Regions from separate parts of the Mus musculus genome. Here regions 2, 3, 4 and 5 are each reported to be linked to region 1. Evidence: microRNA targets listed by miRTarBase, many of them from high-throughput screens and not tested one by one. Region 1 holds a microRNA gene; each other region holds the end of a gene's coding sequence.

Region 1 (4,613 bases):
TTGAACTCCTGATCCTCCTGACTCTGTGGTTTACACCTGGTGATTGAGACCATTCACTGTCCCACTACTGCATAATCTCTAAAACTCTAAGTCACCTATCATTCAGATGGATCGATGAGTGTCATTCCTGTGTCTCTGTGTGTGTGTGTGCTTGTGTTTATATGTATGTGCATGTTATGTCTATTCATATACACACATGCACATGTACACAAAACTATACACCCATGCACATACATGGGTGGCAATCACATGAATCACAGGCAGATATCTATATCCTCCTGAAGATAAGCATGAATTTGAACTCCTGATACTCCTGATTCTAGCAAGCATTTTTACCTAGAAAATGACAGCACTCACTGGCCCAGTACTGAATAATTTCTAATATTCTAGGTGGCATATCATATAAATGGATCTATGAATGTTATTCGTGTGTGTGTGTGTGTGTGTGTGTGTGTGTGTGTGTGTGTGTGTGTGCACGCTAGGGTTTATATGTCTATGTATATGTTATGTATATCCATATAGACACATGAACATACACACACAACTATACAAACCTGCATGTACACTTAAGGCATCACATGAATCACAGGCTTATCTCTAAATCATGCTGAAGATAAGCATAAATTTGAACTTCTGATACTCCTAACTATAGTAAGCATTTTCACCTAGAGAATGAGAGCACTCACTTGCCCCATACTGAATAATCTCTACTACTCTGAGTGGCATATCATTTAAATGGGTCAATGAATGCCATTCCTGTGTCTGTGTGTGTGCTTGCGTTTATACGTGTGTGTGTATGTTATGTATATTCAAATATAGACATGAACATGCACACACAACTATACACACATGCACATACATGGAGGAATCTCAGGCTGATCTCTCATGAGGATAAGCATGAATTTAAACTCCTGATACTCTTAACTCTAGCAAGCATTTTCACCTAGAGAATAAGAGCACTCACTGGCCAAGTACTGCATAATCTCTAATATGCTAAGTGACATATCATTCAAAGGGATCGATGAAAGCCATTCTTGTGTCTCTATGTGTGTGTGCTTGCGTTTATACGTGTATGTTATGTATATGCAAATACATGCATGAACATGCACACACAACTATATACACATGCACAATCATGGGGCCATCACATGAATCACAGGCTGATCTCTAAATCCTCATGAAGGTCAGTATGTGTTTTAACTCCTGAATACTCTTAACTCTAGCAAGCATTTTCACCTAGAGACTGAGAGCACTCACTGGCCAAGTACTGCATAATCTCTAATACTCTAAGTGACACATCATTCCAATGGATTGATGAGTGGCATTGGTGTGAGTGTGTGTGTGTGTGTGTGTGTGTGTGTGTACTTGCATTAGTGTGTGTATGTTATGTATATTCAAATACAGACATGCACACACAACTATACTCACATGCACACACATGGGCGATATCACATGAATACCAGGATGCTATCTAGCTGAACATAGGAGTGAATTGGAACTCCAGATCCTCTTGACTCTTTCAATCGTTTACAACTGGTGAGTGAGACAATTCACCGTCTCTACTTCAAAATCTCTAAAACTCTAAATCACTTATCATTCCAATGGATCGATGAATGGCATTCCTGTGTCTGTTTGTGCACTTGTGTTTACTTGTGTGTGTGTGTGTATGTTATTTATATGCAAATACACACATCCACACACAACTATACACACATGCACATACATGGAGGCATCACATGAATGCCAGGCTGATCTCTAACTCATCATGCCGTTAACATGAATGTGCACTCCTGATCACCCTGAATCTAGCAAGTCTTCTCCTGGTGACTGAGACCTCTCTCTGTCAGCCCCAGTCATACAGAATCTCTAAGACTCTAAGTCACTAATTATTCAAATAGATGGATGAGTGCCAATTTTTGTGTGTTTGTATGCATGTTTGTATGGGTATGTGTGTATGTATATGTATATTCATATACACACATGTACATGCACACATACATATACACACAGGCATATATACTAGGGTCATCACAAGACTCCGAAGCTGATCACGAACTCATCATGAAGTTCAGCATGAATTTTGATTCCTGGTCATCCAAAGTCTGGCAAGCAAGCATTTTCACCTTGTGAGTGAGAGCACTCACTGGCCCAGCCCTGCATAATCTCTAAAGCTCTGAGTCACCTGTCATTCAAAAGGATCAATGAGTGACATTCCTCTGTGTGTGTGCGCGTGTGTGTGTGTGTGTGTGTGCGTGCCTGTGTGTTTATGTTTGTCTGTATGTAGATGTATATTTGTATACACACATGTACATATACACAAAACTATACACACATGCACATATATGGGGGGAGGATGCCATGAGGCCAGGCTGATCCCTAGGTCATTTTGAAGTTATTCAGGAATTTGAACTGCTGATCCAAAAGGCAAGCGTTTTACCTGGTAAGTTAACTGAGACATAGCTCTGGCCATTCCTGTGAGTGAGTGTGTGTGCATGCGTGTATATGCATATTCATATAGAGAAGTGTATGTGCACAAAGCTATACACACATGCACATTCTTTATGGTCATCACATGAATAGCATGCTGATCTCTAACTCATCATGAAGTTAAACATGAATTTGAACTCTTGATCCACCTGACTCTGTGGTGTGAGACCTCTCCCTATTGAGTACTGCAGAATCTCTAAAACTCTAAGTCACATATCATTCAAATGGACTGAGGAGTGGCATGCGTGTGTGTGTCTGTGTCTGTGGATGGGTCTATGTGTGTGTAGGTATGTATATTCATATACACAATCCACACACAGTTACACACATATACACATACATGGGGACATCACATGATTCCCAGGCAGATCTCTAAGTCATCATGAAATAAAGCATGAATTTGAACTCCTGACCTCCTGATTCTAACAAGCATTTTTAACATGATGGGTGATAACTCTCCCTGACCTAGTCACACATAATCTCCAAAGCTCACAGTCACATAGATCAATGAGTGAGTGCCATTCCTGTGTGCCTGTGTGCTCATATGTGTCTTATGTGTGCGTGTATGTATATGGATATCATATTCACATATGTACATGTACACACACATAAACACATATACACATACATAGGGGCAATCACATGAATGCCAGGATGACCTCTAACTCATCATGCCTTTACCATGAACTTGCACTCCTGATCTTCCCGACTCTACCAAGGGTTTTCCCGTGGTTTGTGAGACCTCACCCTGGCCCAGTCATACATAACCTCCAAAGCAGTAGGTCACATATCATTCAAATGGATCCGTGAGGGCCATTCCCGCATGTCTGTGTGCATGTGTGTGTAGGTGTGTGTATGTATATGCATAAAATATACACGCATATACATGCGCGCACTTATGCACACAGGCACATACATAGGGGCCATCACATTATTCCAGGATGATCTCTAACTGCTCATGAAGTTAAGCATGAAATTGAACTCCTGATCCTCCTGACAATGCCAATTGTTTACACCTTGTGAGTGAGACCATTCACTGTCCTTCTACTGCATAATCAGTAACATTCTAAGACATATATCATTCAAATGGATCGATGAATGCCATACCTTGGTGTGTGTGTGCTTGCTTTTATACGTGTGTGTGTGTGTGTGTGTGTTATGTATAATCATATACACACATGTACATGCACACAAAATTATGTGTGCATGTACATACCTAGGGTCCATCACACGAATCCAGGATGATCACTAACTGATCATTAAGTTAAGCATGATTCTGAACTCCAAGACTTCTGATTCTGGCAAGCGGTTTTCATCTAGTTGGCGAGATATTTCACTGTACCATAAATATACACTCTATGAAATTCTAAGCACATATAAAACTTATGGATGACTGCCATGTGTTTCTGTATGCATGCATGTGTGAATATGTGTCAATATATGTCTTTTCATATATCCGCATGTACAGACAAACTTATCTATACACATACACAGAAACAATCACATGAATAACAGGCTGATCTGTAACTCATCAGGAAGTTAAACATGAATTTGAACTCTGGGACCTCCTGACGCTGGCAAGAGCATCCACCTCCTAACTGAGACATAGCTCTGGCCCAGCACTGCATAAGCTCTAAAGCTCTGAGTCACATACCATTCCAAAGGATATATGAGTGCCATTCCTGTGTCTGCATGTGTGTATATGCATATTCACATAGAGAAGTGAATATGCACACAACTACACACACATGCACATTTTGGTGTGCATCAATGAAACACATGCTGATCTCTAATGCATCATGAAGTTAAACATAAACTTGAACACCATATTCTCCTGACTCTAGCAAGATTATTCACCTCCTACCTAAGAAATAACTCTGGCCATTCCTATGAATGTGTGTGCATGTGTGCATATGCATATTCATATAGAGAAATGAATATGCACACAACTATACACACATGCACATTCTTGGTGGGCATCACATGAATCCCGTGCTGATTTCCAACTCATCATGAAATTCAGCACAAATTTGAACTCCTGATCCACCTGACTCTGGCAAGGGATTTCACCTGCTGAGTGAGACCTCTCCCTATTCAGTACTGAGGAATCTTAAAACTCTAAGTCA
Region 2 (4,000 bases), not on the chromosome of region 1:
AGGAAAGGTAAGAAAGCAAGGTAAAGGTGAGAAAGTAGCCCCCTCCCTCTGAGCCCATACTGGCGCTTACTGCCTACAGCCCAGCAGTGTCTTCCAGCCCCTGCAGAAAGCCGAGCTGTGATTCCCGCTTTATGGCCTCTGCCAAATGAAGCACAAATTTAACTACATCACTTCCCCAACAGGACAGGGGAGAGGATGGGGGTATCGTGCTGGGCTCCTTCAGCCCCCTAATCTAATCACTGGTGTGGGTCATTTCAATTACGGACAGCAGAGAGCAGTGGGGGACGGAGCTGCTCATAAAAGCCTCCACGCTGGGGCTCAGCTAATTATGAAGTTTTTGCCGTCTCTGCAGGTAAATAACTCAGAACTGAGCAGTGGCAACATCCAAGGAGCCAGAGCCAGGGAACTGAATGGGACATAGACTAGACATGAGACTAGATACGAGTTTAGGCAAGCTGACAAGGAGAATGGGTGGGGTCCCTGGACACTGAGTGGCATTTGCAAGGGATCATAGGAGACCAGTCCTTCCCAGAGTAAACATACCAAGACCTGGGGTGTGTCCTGGATGACTGCCTGCCATGCAAGAACTCTGTCTTGGAGCCATACTCCCTTCATGGCTACTGTGTGGTTTCCTGATTCTCACCCTCTAACCCAGGCAGTGAGGCCACAGGAGCTTTGCTGTGGAGGGAGATTTAACTGGTAAAAGGCTCAGCTTCTTTCTCTACTCCAGCTCTAGAATGTCTGTAAAAGGCGGTATCCCTGGAGGCAAGGGACACCCTCTATCACCTCATTATTTTGTAGCTCAGTTGGCAGGGTGCTTCCTTAGAACACACAGGCCCTCAGTTTATTCTACATGTCATATAAAACCAGGTGTGGTGAGGCATACTTGTAATCCCGTTGTTTAGGAGGTAGAGGCAGTAGGATCAGAAGACCAAGGTCATCCTCAAATACATAGCATGTTTGAGGTGAGGCAGACTGCATGAGACATTCATCTTTAAAAAAAAAATCAAGACAGCGAAATGAACAAAAAGACAGACTACCATGCTCAGGGAGGTCACCATAGCAGAGAGAATAAGATGAAGCAGAGGCTACTTGGCTAGCCCAGGACCTGTGCTTTTCTTTGTATTCAAGACATCACCCTGGAGCAGTGATTTCTTAGATTATGGGGGACAGCAGATGGCAGGAGCAGTCGCAGCTGGGAGAATCCCATTTTTGTTCTGTTCCTCGGATTCCTTCATCTCTGAAACAAAACTCATGAGAAGGAAGAGCGAGTGGAAGGGCTGTAAGCCAGGCTGCAGCCATGTTTCTTCCAGGGCAGAGCACACTCTCTCAGGAGCACTGTAGAGCCATGTGCTCATAGCACTACTGCTTTGGGCTGCAGATCTGGCCCTGGGACTGCCAGCTGATATCAGGGTGGTGGCACTCTAGACAGAGGGAAGTCTACTTAGAGCTCACCTTCCACCAGGGAAGGACTGCTTCTTAAAGGATGTTATAAAGAGCCTAGGTGATGGTTAAGTACAGTAAAAGTGAGCTAGGCAGGATGTGGAATGGAAGTCTCTTTCAGGTCCCTCCACTACAAAGGGACAGTTGATGGCATCAGCCCTTGAACCTTAGATCCTATAATAAAGACACTCACTCCTTGGGAGAAGCAGAGTCCATACTTGAATGCTGATAGAGATGCTGGAAATCAGACCCCACAGCAAAAGCCCCAGAACCTTTCTCTCTATTGAAAGCAGACAGTCCCCTGTTTATATTGTCATCTGTTATTGACTTTTTGAAATGTCATTAAGTTGTTTCATTTTGCTCTCAGAAGTCTGTGACATGGAGATAGTAAATATTTATAGCATCAATTTCAAGGAAGTCAAATTATGGTCTGAGAAATGAAGTTCAAGCTCCCCTGGGTAAACAATGATGGACCAGACCTCCTGGCTCTGACTCCTCCAGCATGTGTTTAAGAAGGAGGAAAGGCCACAGCCATGCCTTTCCAACTGCCCTCTCTGATAACGGGGGTGGGGGTGGGGGTGGGAGGGTGGGAGTGGAGAAGGCTAGCATCAATGTAGAGGCTAACAACACCATAGAGGCAGAGAAGGACAGTGGTAACAAAGTAGGAAGTGAAGAAGGAAACAGGTGGAGTTTGCATGGACACTTCCTGTTCACAAACTTTTTGCGTTCCCCATTTCATTAACGGCAGCAGTGGAATTTCATGGACAATTGGCGTTGAGCACTAACTGGGAGGTAATGAAAGAGGGGGTGCAGGTAAAAGCTGTTGGAATTTAAATTCTTTTTCTTCAGGGTGGGGATGGGAGGGCAGATTTTTTTTAAAGGCAATTTCAGTCCTGGAATAGGTTTCTAGAAAACAGCTTTGGACTTTCATGGCCTATGCTGGAAGCATCAGGATGTATAATGTCTCTAAGCCTTGCTGTGTCGTTCTGCCCACTAGCCACCTGAGGACCACCCTCAGTGATGGATAGAGATGTGGATGCCCAGGAAACTGGATGTCTGACCACCTTCAGTGAAGAATAGTGATATAGATGCCCAGGGAGGGCCCAGACAGGATGTCTGACCTTGGGTGGATCTTGTCCCTCGGACTTGAGAAAGCACCTCAGACACTTGTCCATCAAGCAGTGAGCTGGAATGAAGTGCTTTGTGATTATTGCTGCAGGGTCCCCACATGTAGAACTCTAGGGACCTGGGCTAGGTGTGGGGGAAGCAGAAAGAGCAGACAGGAAACTGGAAGCCCACACTCATACCGAAGACTCCAACCAGAACCGTCTGTTGATAGCAGGCAAGTCTCAAGTTTATTTTCATCATCTATTTTGTACTTTTCAAGATACCGTTGAGCCATTTGGCTTGATTTTTGCCTTCATAATTCTATGATATAGAAAGAGTAAATATTGACACCCCCTGCTTTAAATAAGGCAAACTGAAGTGAAGTCTGAGGTCTCCTAAATGGGCAGTGATAGAACCAGGCTCAGCGTCAGGGGCCGGAAGCATGTAGCCCATTAGGTAATCTATGTATGTATGTATGTATGTATGTATGTATGTATGTATGTATGTATGTATATCCCTCTTCTTCCTCTTATACACACATGCATTAAAAAGGCTACCAAATATTTAAGGGGAGAAGGTTATAAAATAACATGAGACCAAAGACAGAATTGAGGAGACAATAATGTATTGATGAACCTGGAGGATTTAAGCAGGTTTGAGCAGGGCTTAAGCCAAGCTAACATATAGACTGTTGAAGCAGAAGATATCAAATGGAGCTGGACATGGTGGCACAATACATGCAACCTCAGCAATTGGAAGGTAGAGGCTGGAATGTCAGGGGTTCAAGGTTAGCCTGGACTATAAGAGACCCAGCTTCAAAAATCTAAAAGCAAACTTTTTTTTCCTTAAACCTAAGTGTACGCAGTTGCTGCTGGTTCAGGGAGAGTGAAAGCTTGCTTGTCACTGCATACTCTATTCTGTTTAGACATCTTTATTATGAACATGTAGGTTTACTGGTTTGGTCAATAGCCAATAAGATACTTGTCTCTGTAGTCACTGAAAAGAGACAATAGCATCCTGGAGGCTACCCACCCCTTCTTTTCAGACCCTCTCCAAGCACTGTTCAGCTTTCCCTACATGTTGTAACCCCATATCAAGTGAGACCAGCGGTCTCCATTGTCACATTCTGCTCCACAGTGCCCAGAGAGAGCATAAGGTGACGGTATAGAGCCCCAGCACGGCAAGGTAGATTCGGAAGAGCAGCTGATCAAAGCGATACAGGATGGCCAGCCACTCCACCTCCTTCTGGTGAATCTGATCCCGAGTTCGAAGAGAGTTGTTGATGGACCGGAACTGGAACCAGAAATCCTTCAGAGTATCTGATGGGACCCGATGCTCCTGATGGACCGGGGACTCTGTGTGATAGAGGGGAGCACTCTGAATGAACCAGGAGCTACTTGTTCTTATTCTTTAAGGAAAAGTCTTTGCTGGAATTGGGGACTCTCACCCT
Region 3 (4,000 bases), not on the chromosome of region 1:
AATGACGTGTACCTCATGTGGTATTGAGGGCACATTTCCTGTTTATGGTCGCCATGGGTTGTAGGTGGCACCTATGACATTGGGTTTGGGCCAGTAGCTCATATCTGTATGAAAGAAAAAACACTACAAGATGGAAGTTTGTTTGGCTGAAGTTTGGAGAGGGATTCTCTAAGCAAAGCAGGTAGAAGCCAAGTACAGTGGTGCCATTGTTAATCCCAGTGCTTGGGAGGCACAGGCCAGAGGATCGAGGCCAGCCTACACTTTGGAGAAAGACCTTGTTTCAAAATGGGGTTAATAACATATGCCTTTAATCCTAGCACTTAGGAAACAGGTGGCAGAGCAGCCAGGCTACACAATGAGACTTTGTCTCCAAAAAGGGGAGGGGGTACCTCTTGGGTTTTTGGTGGGTAATCAAGAAATCAGCTAACAGATACTTCCCTCTCCTCCCCACCCCTGCATTAGGAAAGTGGGAGTGCCCGTGGCATCGGTGTGACGAGTGTGGCAGTGTAGCCGTTTCCTTCTGTGAATTCTGTCCACACTCATTCTGTAAGGCTCATGGAAAAGGGGCTCTGGTGCCCTCTGCACTAGAAGGTCGTCTCTGCTGCTCCAGCCACGACCCTGCATCTCCTGTGTCACCAGAATACTGGAGCAAGATCAGATGTAAATGGGAATCCCAAGATAGTGGAGAAGAAGTAAAGGAGTGAGCGGTGGTGACCTCCTCCCACTGCTCTCAGTAAAGAGGCGCAGAGAGGCCACGCCTGCCCTGCCCTGCCGTCAGTCCGCCTTGACGGAGATGGGCGCCAGCTCACACAGGCTAAAGCACTTGCTGGTGTCTGGGTTTTCTATTTTGTTGTTTGGGGGATAATTTTGTGGACAGCAAAATTCCCTTGGTCTCTTCTTGCCTTTCATTGTGCTTCAGTGTCTTTGCAATCAGCAAAAGAGGTGTCCTTGTTTTTAGAGTTGAGAGAGAGAAAATTAAAAGAAAGTTTTGTCTATACGATCAGTGTAAAGCCTAAGATGTACTCCCGGGTTATGTAAAGTGAAAGTAGTCATTCCTGTATTTATTTTCATTTTTAGGTATTCTGAGAAGTGTAGTTCAAACAATCTAACCTCCATGAGTGCTCGTGCGTGTACGTGCGCGTGTGCGTGTGTGTGCAAGCGTGCATGACTGTCACCTTTATATACCTCTTTCCTGAGCCATAGAGTGGCTAACTTCTCTTTCCTTTTTCCCGGGCCTTTTCTCGGGTCAGAGAAGGCTCTCAGCAAGTATTCAGACTGGCCTCTTGAAAACAAACTCCTTGACAGCATTTACCTCTGTGGTCTTAAACTGGGTGGGCTTCATGGTGCGCCAACTCTACGTAGAAATATCTTAGAGGGACAAGGAGTGAGTGCATTCTACTCATTGTGATTTTCTGAAACATTTGAGGGATGTGAATACATAGGGGAATGCTCATTCCTGCTGTCCTGACCACTGGCAAGAGGCTAAAGAAAGATAAGGCACAGACCAAACATTGGATCATATATGCACCATTTTCTGACCAATTTAATGTAGACTCCAGTCTAACCTGGAATTTAAGGGCATTTTATTTTCTGTCTTTCCCTCTGCCAATCATGTTTCCTTTGCCAGCTGGGTCACTCAGTCATGTTTCCTGGTAAAGCTATATAACTGAATCTGAATTATATGAAATAGACTTTTTCAGTTGATTTCCTAACTTAGGGATGATGCAAGTGGACAGAAACATCCCTAAGTTATATGTGAACCATTTCTACTTAGTATTATGCAATACTTAAGACTGTCCCCATTGCATAAGGGGAAGAACTTGCTCTTTTACAGGGTATGTAGGAGCCACAGAGATGCTCCATGTAGAAAGCACTTGAAACCGCCCCCCACAAAGTCAGTGTTTGCAAACATGGCTGTGAGGTTTGAATAGTACAGACCCAAGCATACCAAGGCGTCGGCCCGCAGAATTCACTTGCATCTAGCACTTAGGATCTAGTCCAGTATTACTTGTGTGAAATCATGTCAGACATGGTAACATTAGACTAAATAAAAATCTAGTGTTACCATGAAATATGAACTTCCTCAGTGTGTTTCAACTGCTTACTGGAGGTACCCAGTAGGCTCTCTTCTCCTCAAGAACCTATACTTTACTAACGTAGGGCACGAGATGCTCTATGACACCCTGTAGTTATGTTAGGTGCGTTTGTCCTTTTTTTAGTTTTTTACAAATCAATTCAGACCTCATCTCTGGACAAAAGAAAGAGCAATTTTGTGCCTCTTTTTTTTAAATATATATAAATGTGCAATTTATAGGCAACAGACACTACAGTTCCTCTCTAAGCTCCTGAACTGCCATTTACCTAGTCTAGCACTTGTGGTAATCCCGCTGGCTAGACAAGCTCCTGTGAGGAGGGAGACAGGACGGTACCCAGCACCCAGTGCAGTCCCTACGACCGACTCGAACGAAGCACAGCCCACGCAAACACTAAACTCTCTGCTCTTGAGCAATTATGAAGTTTGATGTCCTTTAAAACAATAATGTAAGAGTATCTGGGTTTTGTCATATTAAATTTTATTTTATACAGACATAACATTTTTTAAACTTGTTGATAAGCGACTTCCTTTGATATTCCAAATGTAACCCTCATGAGAACAATGTCCGATATGAGATTGTATCTTGTTTCCTTTTTGACCTCGTGCTTTTTAGTATCTGATAACTTTTATAGAGTAAGCCCCAGGGTTCATCATGTATTTATAAATACCCTACCCTGACCTATCTCTCTCCTGCTTCTCTGCTATGGCTCGCTTGTTTTTATATCTATAAAAGGACTTTGCACTTTTCAGATCTTTTCCTACTAGATGACTAACAGGCTTGCTCTCAGAAGCCTGCCTGCTCCAAGCCAAGTGCAAGGGCGACTGCCTGTGCCATCATCGCAGCCTGGGTCTTAGAACTGAGGGTTAGGAAGCAGAACGTTGGCTGACTGGTGTAAGTATACGTACACCGTCGGTCGTTTCATGTCCTGTGTCAGTGACATTGCAAGGCACTGTGCTTACTCGGAGCCTGAAGCTGCTTGGTGGTAGCTTTTCAATATGGTTTAGGTATACAGCATTTGTGGTTGATTTTATTCAGCCCAGAAATAAAGGACTCAAAGCAGCATGGGATACTAGTGGTATTTCCTAACCTCAGGAGGAAGATGAGAGTTCTGGTTATCAGTGGAAAGCTTTAGAAATTGGGCTGGAAAGAGCTAGAGATGATAGCACGAGACCATCACAAGCACTGTGCCTTGTAGGTGTCGCTGGGCCGCCAGGGTAGCTGCCTGTGTCTGGCCAAGCAGGATGGGACCAGTGCTCGTCACTGCCAGTGTGCTGCAGTAACCTCTGATTTCAGTCTCCAGTCAGGGTGGGGATCAGAGTGGAGTAGGTTTTATCTTCACTTTTGCTTTGCAAGCCCTACCTACTCTTATTTTAATTCTCAAAAATTACCTTTCCTAAGCTGTAGAATAGACTTGAGTTTTCTGTGCGTTATATAAATAACATATATATATATATAAATATAAAATGTTTTATATATATAAGTGGTGTGTGTGTGTGTGTGTGTGTGTGTGTGTGTGTGTGTGTGTGTACACATACATACTGAGTTAGGAAGTATTTGAAACTAAAGAGATAATAAGGGCCTGCAGCCCACTGCTTCTGTCAGTGTCTCCCACTGCAGTGTTTGCGGAAGTGTGTGTAACTAATATGGATCTGAGATACTGAGGGTCTGTCTGCTCATGTGAAATACTCGGCTGGACTGGTAGGCAGCTTTTATGCAGTGGCTTCTTTTTTGAGTACTTTCTTACTGTTTCGGGTCAAAGCCAGACTACAGTTTGAAGTCCTCCCATTATCTGTTCAGAACATAGACCCGGCTCTCCAAGACCTGCCGCTAATCTTGTCAAAACAACACTCCTCTTGCAGCACTTCCCCACGGAGCTAAAATGCTGCCAACCACATGCCATGCCC
Region 4 (4,000 bases), not on the chromosome of region 1:
GCGGGGTGGGGGTGGGGGGCTCAGCACATGAAGGGCTTGAACCCCATGGTGGGCGGGGCACAGAGCAGCAGAGAATAGACTCCTGCAGGCTTTCCTCTCAGCTCCACAAAGCAGGTAGGTAAATAAACAAATGTAATAAAACACTAAAAAATAAGTAAATAAAAGAGAGTTAAAGAAATGGCTTGAAATGTGCATTGTTTTTGAATAATTTTCTCATCCAGTCACCAGTGACCTAATGTGCTGATGAAAAATACAGCTTTATTCCACTTTACCAAACACCTGGAGTTGTGAAAAAGTTAAGATAGAAGAGAAAGAAAACACAAATTCAGTATTTTTTTTAAACCAGATTTAAGATTTTTTTTTTTAATTCAAATCGACCCAAAGCAAAACTTACGTTACAAAGAAAGAACAGAATATATTATGATACAACACACTGGGAGTTACATGAAAGCTAAATTTGTGGGCAAACAGCCTTGTCCCAATTCCACCCTGGGCTAACAGGTGATTCAGTAGGGAAGTTAGAAACTCTTTCTCATGGTCCACTCTGGCCATTAAGCTACGCTTTCCTGGTGTCTTACGAGGGAGGAGTCTGACAGGTCATGCTAGTCTCCCCCATGCTTTACAAGCGACTCCAGCCACTGCCAGAGTGCTGACCTCTCCAGCAGAATCGTCACTCCAAGCATGACTGGTAATGAATTAAAAAAAAAAAAAACAAACAATCAAGTCACCCAAACTAATAAGCAGGGGTTATTCTGTAGTAAATAGTTTAGAAATATGGGAATTAAATAATCTAAAAAAACACTCTTAACTCTGCTGTACATTTATAAACACAAATATTTACAAAGAAACACCCTTGTTTTCAAAAGATGAGGTTTGCAGTTCGTTAATGATCATATTTTATGAGCTGGTTTCTTTGGTGTATTCGCCAAATGCATTTTATAAAGTTTTAGTAATAGGCTTAAATAATAAATTTCAAAAGAAGCGCAAAAGACTCAGTGTGAATTTTGAGTCAACGGGCTGTGTTATGAGGGGCTGTTTTCTCTCCTAGGGCCACAGACTGCTTCTCTGATAACAAATTCAGGGGCAGACCTGCATGGTCACCACAACCACATCAGCAACTGGACAGCCCTTCCGTTACCATAGAATACAGCACAGGACTGGGGTCTAGTATAAACAAAGGACATTCTCTCAAGCTTCCAGATAAATCAAACCACAAACAATAAATAATGGAATTATACACTTCTTCATTAAATAGAATTTTCAATTCCTGGAAGAGCACTCAGAATTGTTTTTGTTTTTTTGTTTTTTGTTTTTTTTTCTGAAGTCACAGCAGTAAACAGCACAAAGAATTTGCCTTAATATGATCTTTTTATTTGGGATCCCCTGATTCAATTCGATTTCAGTGGCTTAGTTCAGAACCCTCTGAATGGCTGGAAAGTGAATGTCACTTTTAACTTACAAAATAAATTAATTTTCATGTATGATTCCTGTGCAACTGGACACTAATATGGCAGCTCAGAGTCCAGACTCTCAGCTCTCCTCCCACCACTTTCCATGCTGGGCTGGGGCTCTAACACAAGTTACACTCAACTAATTTCTGGTCACTTTGTGTCCCTAAGGCTGGTAGTGTGTCTCCAGCCCTGACCTGGGGCCTGAATAAAGACTGAGAACACAGCTTTGCAGGTGCCTTAGAAGGGGACTCTCCATGGAGGTAACCTTTCAGCCAGGGTCACCACAGCCATCCCTATCTTCCTGGGTCCCAGCTATCACTCTGGCCTCATGCTCTCCCTGAAGGAGGCTATGGGCCACATCAGCAAGTCCCTGAAGCATCCTTTTGCCTGTTCAGGAATCCCTGTGCCACCTAGGCACACGCAAACCCAATGTTCTGCGGTCACAGCTACTCTGGCCAAGACGGCAAGCTTTGGGCTTGAGTGAACAACACTGCTAGCCTGAACTCAGGGAAACCTAATTCTGCTTAATTATGTTAGGAGGGGAAGACTTTACCCTCTATGCCTTCAAACTGGCAATTCTGACAAGAAAGGAGAAGCCCTTATCCTGCAACCTTTTGATAGCAAATTTATTAACAGTTTATAAATATTTAAAAAATTTGTCACAGCACTAAGAATGGCATGGGGAACTTAAAAGGGGGTGTCTTCAAACTAACATAACGTCAAATGAAGCAGTGAGTGTGTGTCCCCAGGAACACCCATGATGCCTAGGGCCTCTGGGCCCTCCCCCTTGTTACTAACACTTTACTACATCCGGGTCTTTCTTGCACATACTTGTCCAACCAACCCAGAAAATTAAAATATTTGTCTTGAAGAGCTTTACTGTACTCACCTTCAAAATAGACAGGAAATACTTAATTAGCGTATCAGCAATTTGCCAGGCTTACAAAAGGGTGCCCATTAGAGACTTTCCCCTTAAAATATATATGTATACATATTACCAGGAAGGCAAAAAAATCCACCAAGAAACCACCCTGAAATATTTAGTCATTAAAGTAGAATGGTTTAGCAAGAATGTGGGCTATTTCTAGGGACCTCTGTCATCACCAGAATATGAAATTTGTTCTTTAAGGTGAAATAAAACACAAAGTTTAAGGTGGAAACTGAGGTGATCCTGGTGGCCTGCTGTGGGATGGAGGTGGTGATGATGGCTCCAAGGGGCACAAGGAAGCCAACTGAAGAACAGGAAGAGCAAACCATCCAGAGACGACACCAAGAGAGTTGCACAAGAGGCACCATTTTTTGTTTTTGTTTTGTTTTTTAAAAAACAGAATACACTGGCTTTAAAAAGTTAATTCCTTTCCCCATTGATTTTGTTTTAAAAGCACAATTCAATAAGAGAGGGGGTGGGGGAGTTGAAACACAATGTTTCAGGGTAGTGTCTTACAGTTGTTAAAAAAAATAATTTAAAAAAAAAGCGCACACCAAAGGAAGCCGAGGTCCTGGGTTGGTTTTTTTCATCGGAAAGCTACATTAATTAGAAGGGAAAAAGGATTTTTAAACAGCTCATCTGTACTCATTAAAAATGAATGAGGCGACAGCATTACTGTAAGTTTCTTCACAGAGAATTTTCCAGCATCACCCAGGATCACAGGAGGTGAGCCTGAGACCTCCAAACTTTAAGAAGTATTCCGTCTACTGGTTCCTAGTACCGTGTTCACCAATGAAACCAGAGCATCAAAAGGGAAAATTCTCTGCTTCAAACCTGTCTATATTGTGCACTTAGGAAAAACAAATTTTCTAAATGCAGTATTGTATAGAAAGGCTTGGACCTCATCGACTTGGACCAAGAAACCAAATTAAGACCTTCAAGCGTGGGGTGTGTATGTGTGAGTGTAGACACACACACACACACACACACACACACACACACACACACAGATCCCTCCCCCAAATGAAATCCAAACAAACATAAACCTAAAAGTGTATACCTGCTTTCTGACTTGACCGCAAATCAGAAATTGCATAGGATATACTTTGTGCAAGGCCTGAAGCCTTTTAAGTATCTGGAATAACTCGTAATCTTGTCCACAGTCCAGGTGTATCAGATATCATCAAATTTGTGTTTTAAGTAGTCTTTCATGACCTTGGCAATTGGTAGCTCATCAAGCAGCTTCAGGTTTTGAAGGCCTATACACTGTCGAATTTTAATTCGGCACAGGTCCTGCAGGGTTCTGGGCTGTCCTAAAATGACAGAGAAAAGAGAACGTTACAGAGGTACAAAGCATTGGAGAGGGAGGGATGTGAGGGAAGGCATTGTCTGAGGAAGGGTCTACTGTGGATCTTACAGTCAAAGGACTGACCGAGATTCTCAAGTGTCATCTGTCCCTTCCTGTGGTGTCTCACCCACTTGGTCTTTTCCAAAACTCTTTACAAGGCGGTAATGTTATGGTCTGAGTATGCAATGGTCCTGTCAGGCACCCGATTAGAATATTCTGTGCCTGAATGATGGTACTGCCTTGGTGAGTGCTGTGGAATCTCCAGGAGGTGGG
Region 5 (4,000 bases), not on the chromosome of region 1:
CATCTGCTCCTAAGGAAAGCTTTCTTTCTCTCTCTCTCTCTCTCTCTCTCTCTCTCTCTCTCTCTCTCTCTCTCTCAGATATTGTAATCTAAATCATTTTAATGCCCAGCGCATCCGTGGAAATCGTTGTGAAGAAACTCTTCTCCTCACTGAGAAGTCTCTGAAGTTTTATGGCAGTACACAGGGAGCATCTTCAAGTATTGATCTTTGGGAGACAGCCCTCTGAAACTGGATTTGATTCTCTTGTGAGACCCGTTATCCACTATTTTCTTCTTCAATCGAATACTTCATACGTTTCACTGGGAAAGTCAACATAAAGAAGAGTGTACTTTATTTACAATGAATAATTATGATCCTTCCAATAAACTATGATGACTTTTAATGATATATTATGCTCTTGAACTAATAAAGCGATTTTAAAGTCTTGGTGATTACTCTGTGACCGGAAACAATCATTTTCCATGTTAGCGTGTCAATCATATTGTATAATCATTACAGTGGTTCAGCAGTTGAAGGTGATATGAAAGATTTATTTATAATTTTAATGTCATTAGAAGCTAAGAAACAATATGCTTCTACTTCTTCTTTCTGTATATTCACTAAGGCTTTATTGCATTCTAGGTATTATAAACCATAAGTAATATGATGTTTAGATAATAAATGTGTATAGAATTCTGCTATATTTGACCTTGGCATTCTACTAAAATATATCTTGATTAAGAAACTTTCTTCAGAATTTAAAAGCAATGTTACTAAAATAGAGGTCGTTTGGTTTGGTTTTATTTGGTCTTATCAGGTTTGGGACAAGATCTCATAGAGCCCAGGCTGCCCTCAAACTTAACTATGTAGCAGAGGATGATCAAAGAAGTGGAAATACAGACAGATGCCTCTCTAGGCCATACAATTATTATTATTATTATTATTGTTGTTGTTGTTATTATTATTATTATTATTGAATAAAGTTAATGTCCTGTCATCTCTTTATCACAATTTGCCTCAGTATGTGACAAAGTTTGGTTTTCAGCCTCCTATTTTAGGCGACTCTGTCTTCTCCCCAAACTGCATGTCTTGTTGACGCTACCCTAAGTTCTTCCATACTGCCGCCCAGACTTTAAAGGTTCTCCCAGCACCCTTCCTTGACTTCCTCTCCAGAACCAGGCTAGATTGGGCAAGAGCATTTTTTTTAACTGTTCATTCCAAGAGACTGTGATTGAATGCCTCTCTTGCTGATCTGTCCAATGTTTAGAGCCATGGAGTAAGAAATGTAGCCAATTGTAACTTGATTAGGTTACAATGTGCATTTTTAAATGCTCTAAGCGCAGTCAAACCCCAGGCGTTTTTCTTATTCCAGCTACTTGCTATGTGTTCCTTTGTTTGGAGGACAAGTTTATAAAGTCAGCTCTATAGGCAGAAATTCTTCCCCACAACTTATTCGTTGTTTTGCACAATTCCCTGGCAAAACAGTGGGGCTGAGCCTGCTGCTCTTACAACTTTCCTCGCTGTGAAAGGTTAAATGCCAAGCTTGCAGTTTTGGGCTTAATGAACACCCCAAAGGAGCCTCATTAATGCAGTATCTAGCGCATTGGTCTCATAATGAACATCCCGAAGATCAAGAAAGTTCCAAACGCCTCATCTTGGTGTAAATGAAAAGCCACAGCGTGCTCTGGCTGTTAGAAAAGGACCGGGACGACTTTGGCCCTTCCCCAAATGTCCCTTCATCTCCTTAATTTCTACATTGTAATGGGGAGGGAAAAAAAAGGTGTTCATTACACTCTCGCTCTTCCTTTGCGATGAAAGAACATCAGAAATTATAAAATTGACCCAAAGCAAGCAGCAGAAGAGCTGAGAACTCGCAGGTTGGCGTTGACACTTGTGATTAGCTAAATTGCAGTAACTACAGACGCTTCGGTTGGGAACAGGGTGCATTCACACGGCAGTTTCTTCTCTAGTGCCTGGCGACATTATCTCTGAGCACCTGGAGTAGTTTAGGCATTAAGTGTAATTGGTTTTGCTTTACATAAATCTGGAGCTTTGTAAATAAGCGGAGCGTTTCAGCTTCTATATAACACCAATTAACTTAAAGGGATGCCTTGTTTGCAGAAACCCGCTGCGTTCCGTACTGTATTTCTCTCATAATGTGCTCACTGGCAGCGAAGTCCTGTGTCCCTGCAGCATATCATAGGTTCCAGCCGCTTCCTCCGAGGGCCTCTCCCAGCCGCTCACTCTCTCCAGCTCACAAAGCGGCTGAAAGGCGGCGGACAGAAGCCAGTCTTCCCTAAAAAGCCCCCTTACGCTGGATTTCTGTTCAAGACTGAAACTTGAATGGAGGGCTTGGAAAATGTTTTCTGTGACCCATGAGCCCACAGGTCTGACCCCAGCTGGTTCTGTCAGCTAATGACAGAGACATCTTTCTCTTTTTCCCTGACAAGAATTCGGTGAAGCCCTAATTCAGACATTGTGCCTATACACAAACAATCTTTACATGTGTTTTCATTATACAAGTTTAACAATAAAGTTTTCCCAACATATTGCCTTGTTTCTTAACAGGAAAACAACAACCACAGTGTCTGAAGAAAAAAAAATAATAACTAGGATCTGGAAGAGGGTAGATTTTTCTCCCAGGCTCTTTGGCCATTTCCCCTTATTATATCTCTCTACTTGGCTGACTTCCTTGTCTGTAGTATCCCCACTTTGATACTCTGAATTCTGGCATTCATCCCATCATTACCAACCTGGAATTCCCAGCACTTTGTGGAACTCTGGAGAATGATCAATAGGTAAGAGCACATACTGTGAGAATATGAGTATGACTCCCAGAACCCAAAAGAAAAACGTTTGGCCTGACCACACATGCTCAGCGTTGATGGGCGGAGACAAGCAGATCAGGGTGTTCCCTGCTTGTCCCGCCAGCATAGCTGACTAGGTAGGTAAGCTTCAGCTTCAGTGAGAGACTCTGTCTCAAGGGAATACATGGGAGAATGATAAGACAAGACTTCCAGCATCCTCCTCCTCTTGCTCTGTGTGCATGGGCATGCGCAGACACAAACACAAGCGTATACCACCCGCATTAACTTTTAAAGTATTTTTATTATTTAACAGAGTACACAAGTGTACATGCACACCACACAGACACACACACACAAACAAATATCACATATGCATACATACATACATACACACATACATATAAATGAATAAATAAAAACAAATTTTGAGCAGAGTTTCAGAAACAGTCATTTCCGCAGACAACTATACTGTTGTTCTTAAGGGTGGCAGGGGCTGCCTTCACAAACAACACTTGATATCACCAACATTAGCTCAGCCCACGTGGGTGAAGCACTCTCCACTGTCAAATTCGAACAAGAAGGAGAAGAATAATCACATCAGGGGCAGAGATTGTGACAAAACATTTTCCTCTGTCAGAACGTACTATGGATCCTTACACTGCCCTCGTGTGGACCCTATAGTCAGGTGCACCCCACTGAAAGATTCTTGGGACCACAGTGGGAGCAGGGACCTCACTCAGAAGTGTCCTTTCAGCTCTGTCATTAAAACCATCTGGATGTTAGTACTACGCTGGTTCTGAACAGCCTTAAAGAAAGGCACTTTGAATGATGGGTAATTGTGAAGATTCTGGTGAGACTTGCACAGTGCTGTCCCATTTCTTAGTATGTTTGCTTACTTAGCAATCAGAGTGACCCTAGGCTTTTAGATAGTCTCAGGGAAGTCTTCCAACAAGAGACTGTGAGCTGTCTCACCTGGGTGCAAGGAACTAACCGGCTCTCTAGGAGCAGGATGTACATTCTTAATTGCTGAGCCTCCAGCCCCCAATACACATCTAGCAGCCATCACTGCTGCATTGGAACCCACCTCTTGGCTGCTATTCCATCTCTCGGATGGAACTCAGGCTGTTCTCAGGCTTACGAAACCACAAGTGGCCAAACTTACATAAACACAGCAGTGAGTCCACAGCCTATGACAAGCGTCTATTACCATGGTA

What was found. Region 1 holds the annotated microRNA mmu-miR-297c-5p (AUGUAUGUGUGCAUGUACAUGU, at 1,979-2,000, opposite strand). A microRNA usually pairs through its seed, bases 2 to 8, with sites in the 3' UTR of a target mRNA and lowers its output. Matches are read on the target gene's strand: a 7mer-m8 pairs with bases 2 to 8, a 7mer-A1 pairs with bases 2 to 7 and ends in A, and an 8mer does both.
Region 2: miRTarBase lists Htr3b as a target of mmu-miR-297c-5p. Seed matches in the 3' UTR shown: 7mer-m8 at 3,055-3,061, 7mer-m8 at 3,051-3,057, 7mer-m8 at 3,047-3,053, 7mer-m8 at 3,043-3,049, 7mer-m8 at 3,039-3,045, 7mer-m8 at 3,035-3,041 and 5 more.
Region 3: the mRNA of Nsd3 is a reported target of mmu-miR-297c-5p. Seed matches in the 3' UTR shown: 7mer-m8 at 3,626-3,632.
Region 4: the mRNA of Asb7 is a reported target of mmu-miR-297c-5p. Seed matches in the 3' UTR shown: 7mer-m8 at 3,331-3,337.
Region 5: the mRNA of Slc15a5 is a reported target of mmu-miR-297c-5p. Seed matches in the 3' UTR shown: 7mer-A1 at 898-904.

What each region holds. Positions count from the first base shown.
Region 1 is chr2:10,506,413-10,511,025 of GRCm38, reverse strand. Mir297c (microRNA 297c) reads right to left here and starts at 2,010; the gene lies at 1,913-2,010. All of the region lies in intron 10 of Sfmbt2 (Scm-like with four mbt domains 2), which reads right to left. Mir467d (microRNA 467d) reads right to left here and starts at 3,396; the gene lies at 3,312-3,396. Mir466 (microRNA 466) reads right to left here and starts at 3,108; the gene lies at 3,036-3,108. It also overlaps Mir669c and Mir669a-2.
Region 2 is chr9:48,932,231-48,936,230 of GRCm38, forward strand. Htr3b (5-hydroxytryptamine (serotonin) receptor 3B) reads right to left here. Exons shown (of 9, transcript NM_020274.4): 9 at 2,778-3,905. The coding sequence ends at 3,670. Among named protein-coding and RNA genes, the nearest start is that of Htr3a, 23 kb to the left of the region's middle.
Region 3 is chr8:25,713,697-25,717,696 of GRCm38, forward strand. It overlaps Nsd3 (nuclear receptor binding SET domain protein 3), which reads left to right. Exons shown (of 23, transcript NM_001081269.2): 23 at 463-4,000. The coding sequence ends at 704. Among named protein-coding and RNA genes, the nearest start is that of Plpp5, 4.4 kb to the right of the region's middle.
Region 4 is chr7:66,644,234-66,648,233 of GRCm38, forward strand. It overlaps Asb7 (ankyrin repeat and SOCS box-containing 7), which reads right to left. Exons shown (of 6, transcript NM_080443.2): 6 at 332-3,692. The coding sequence ends at 3,553. Among named protein-coding and RNA genes, the nearest start is that of Asb7, 43 kb to the right of the region's middle.
Region 5 is chr6:137,980,576-137,984,575 of GRCm38, reverse strand. Slc15a5 (solute carrier family 15, member 5) reads left to right here. Exons shown (of 9, transcript NM_177787.4): 9 at 79-986. The coding sequence ends at 226. Among named protein-coding and RNA genes, the nearest start is that of Slc15a5, 97 kb to the left of the region's middle.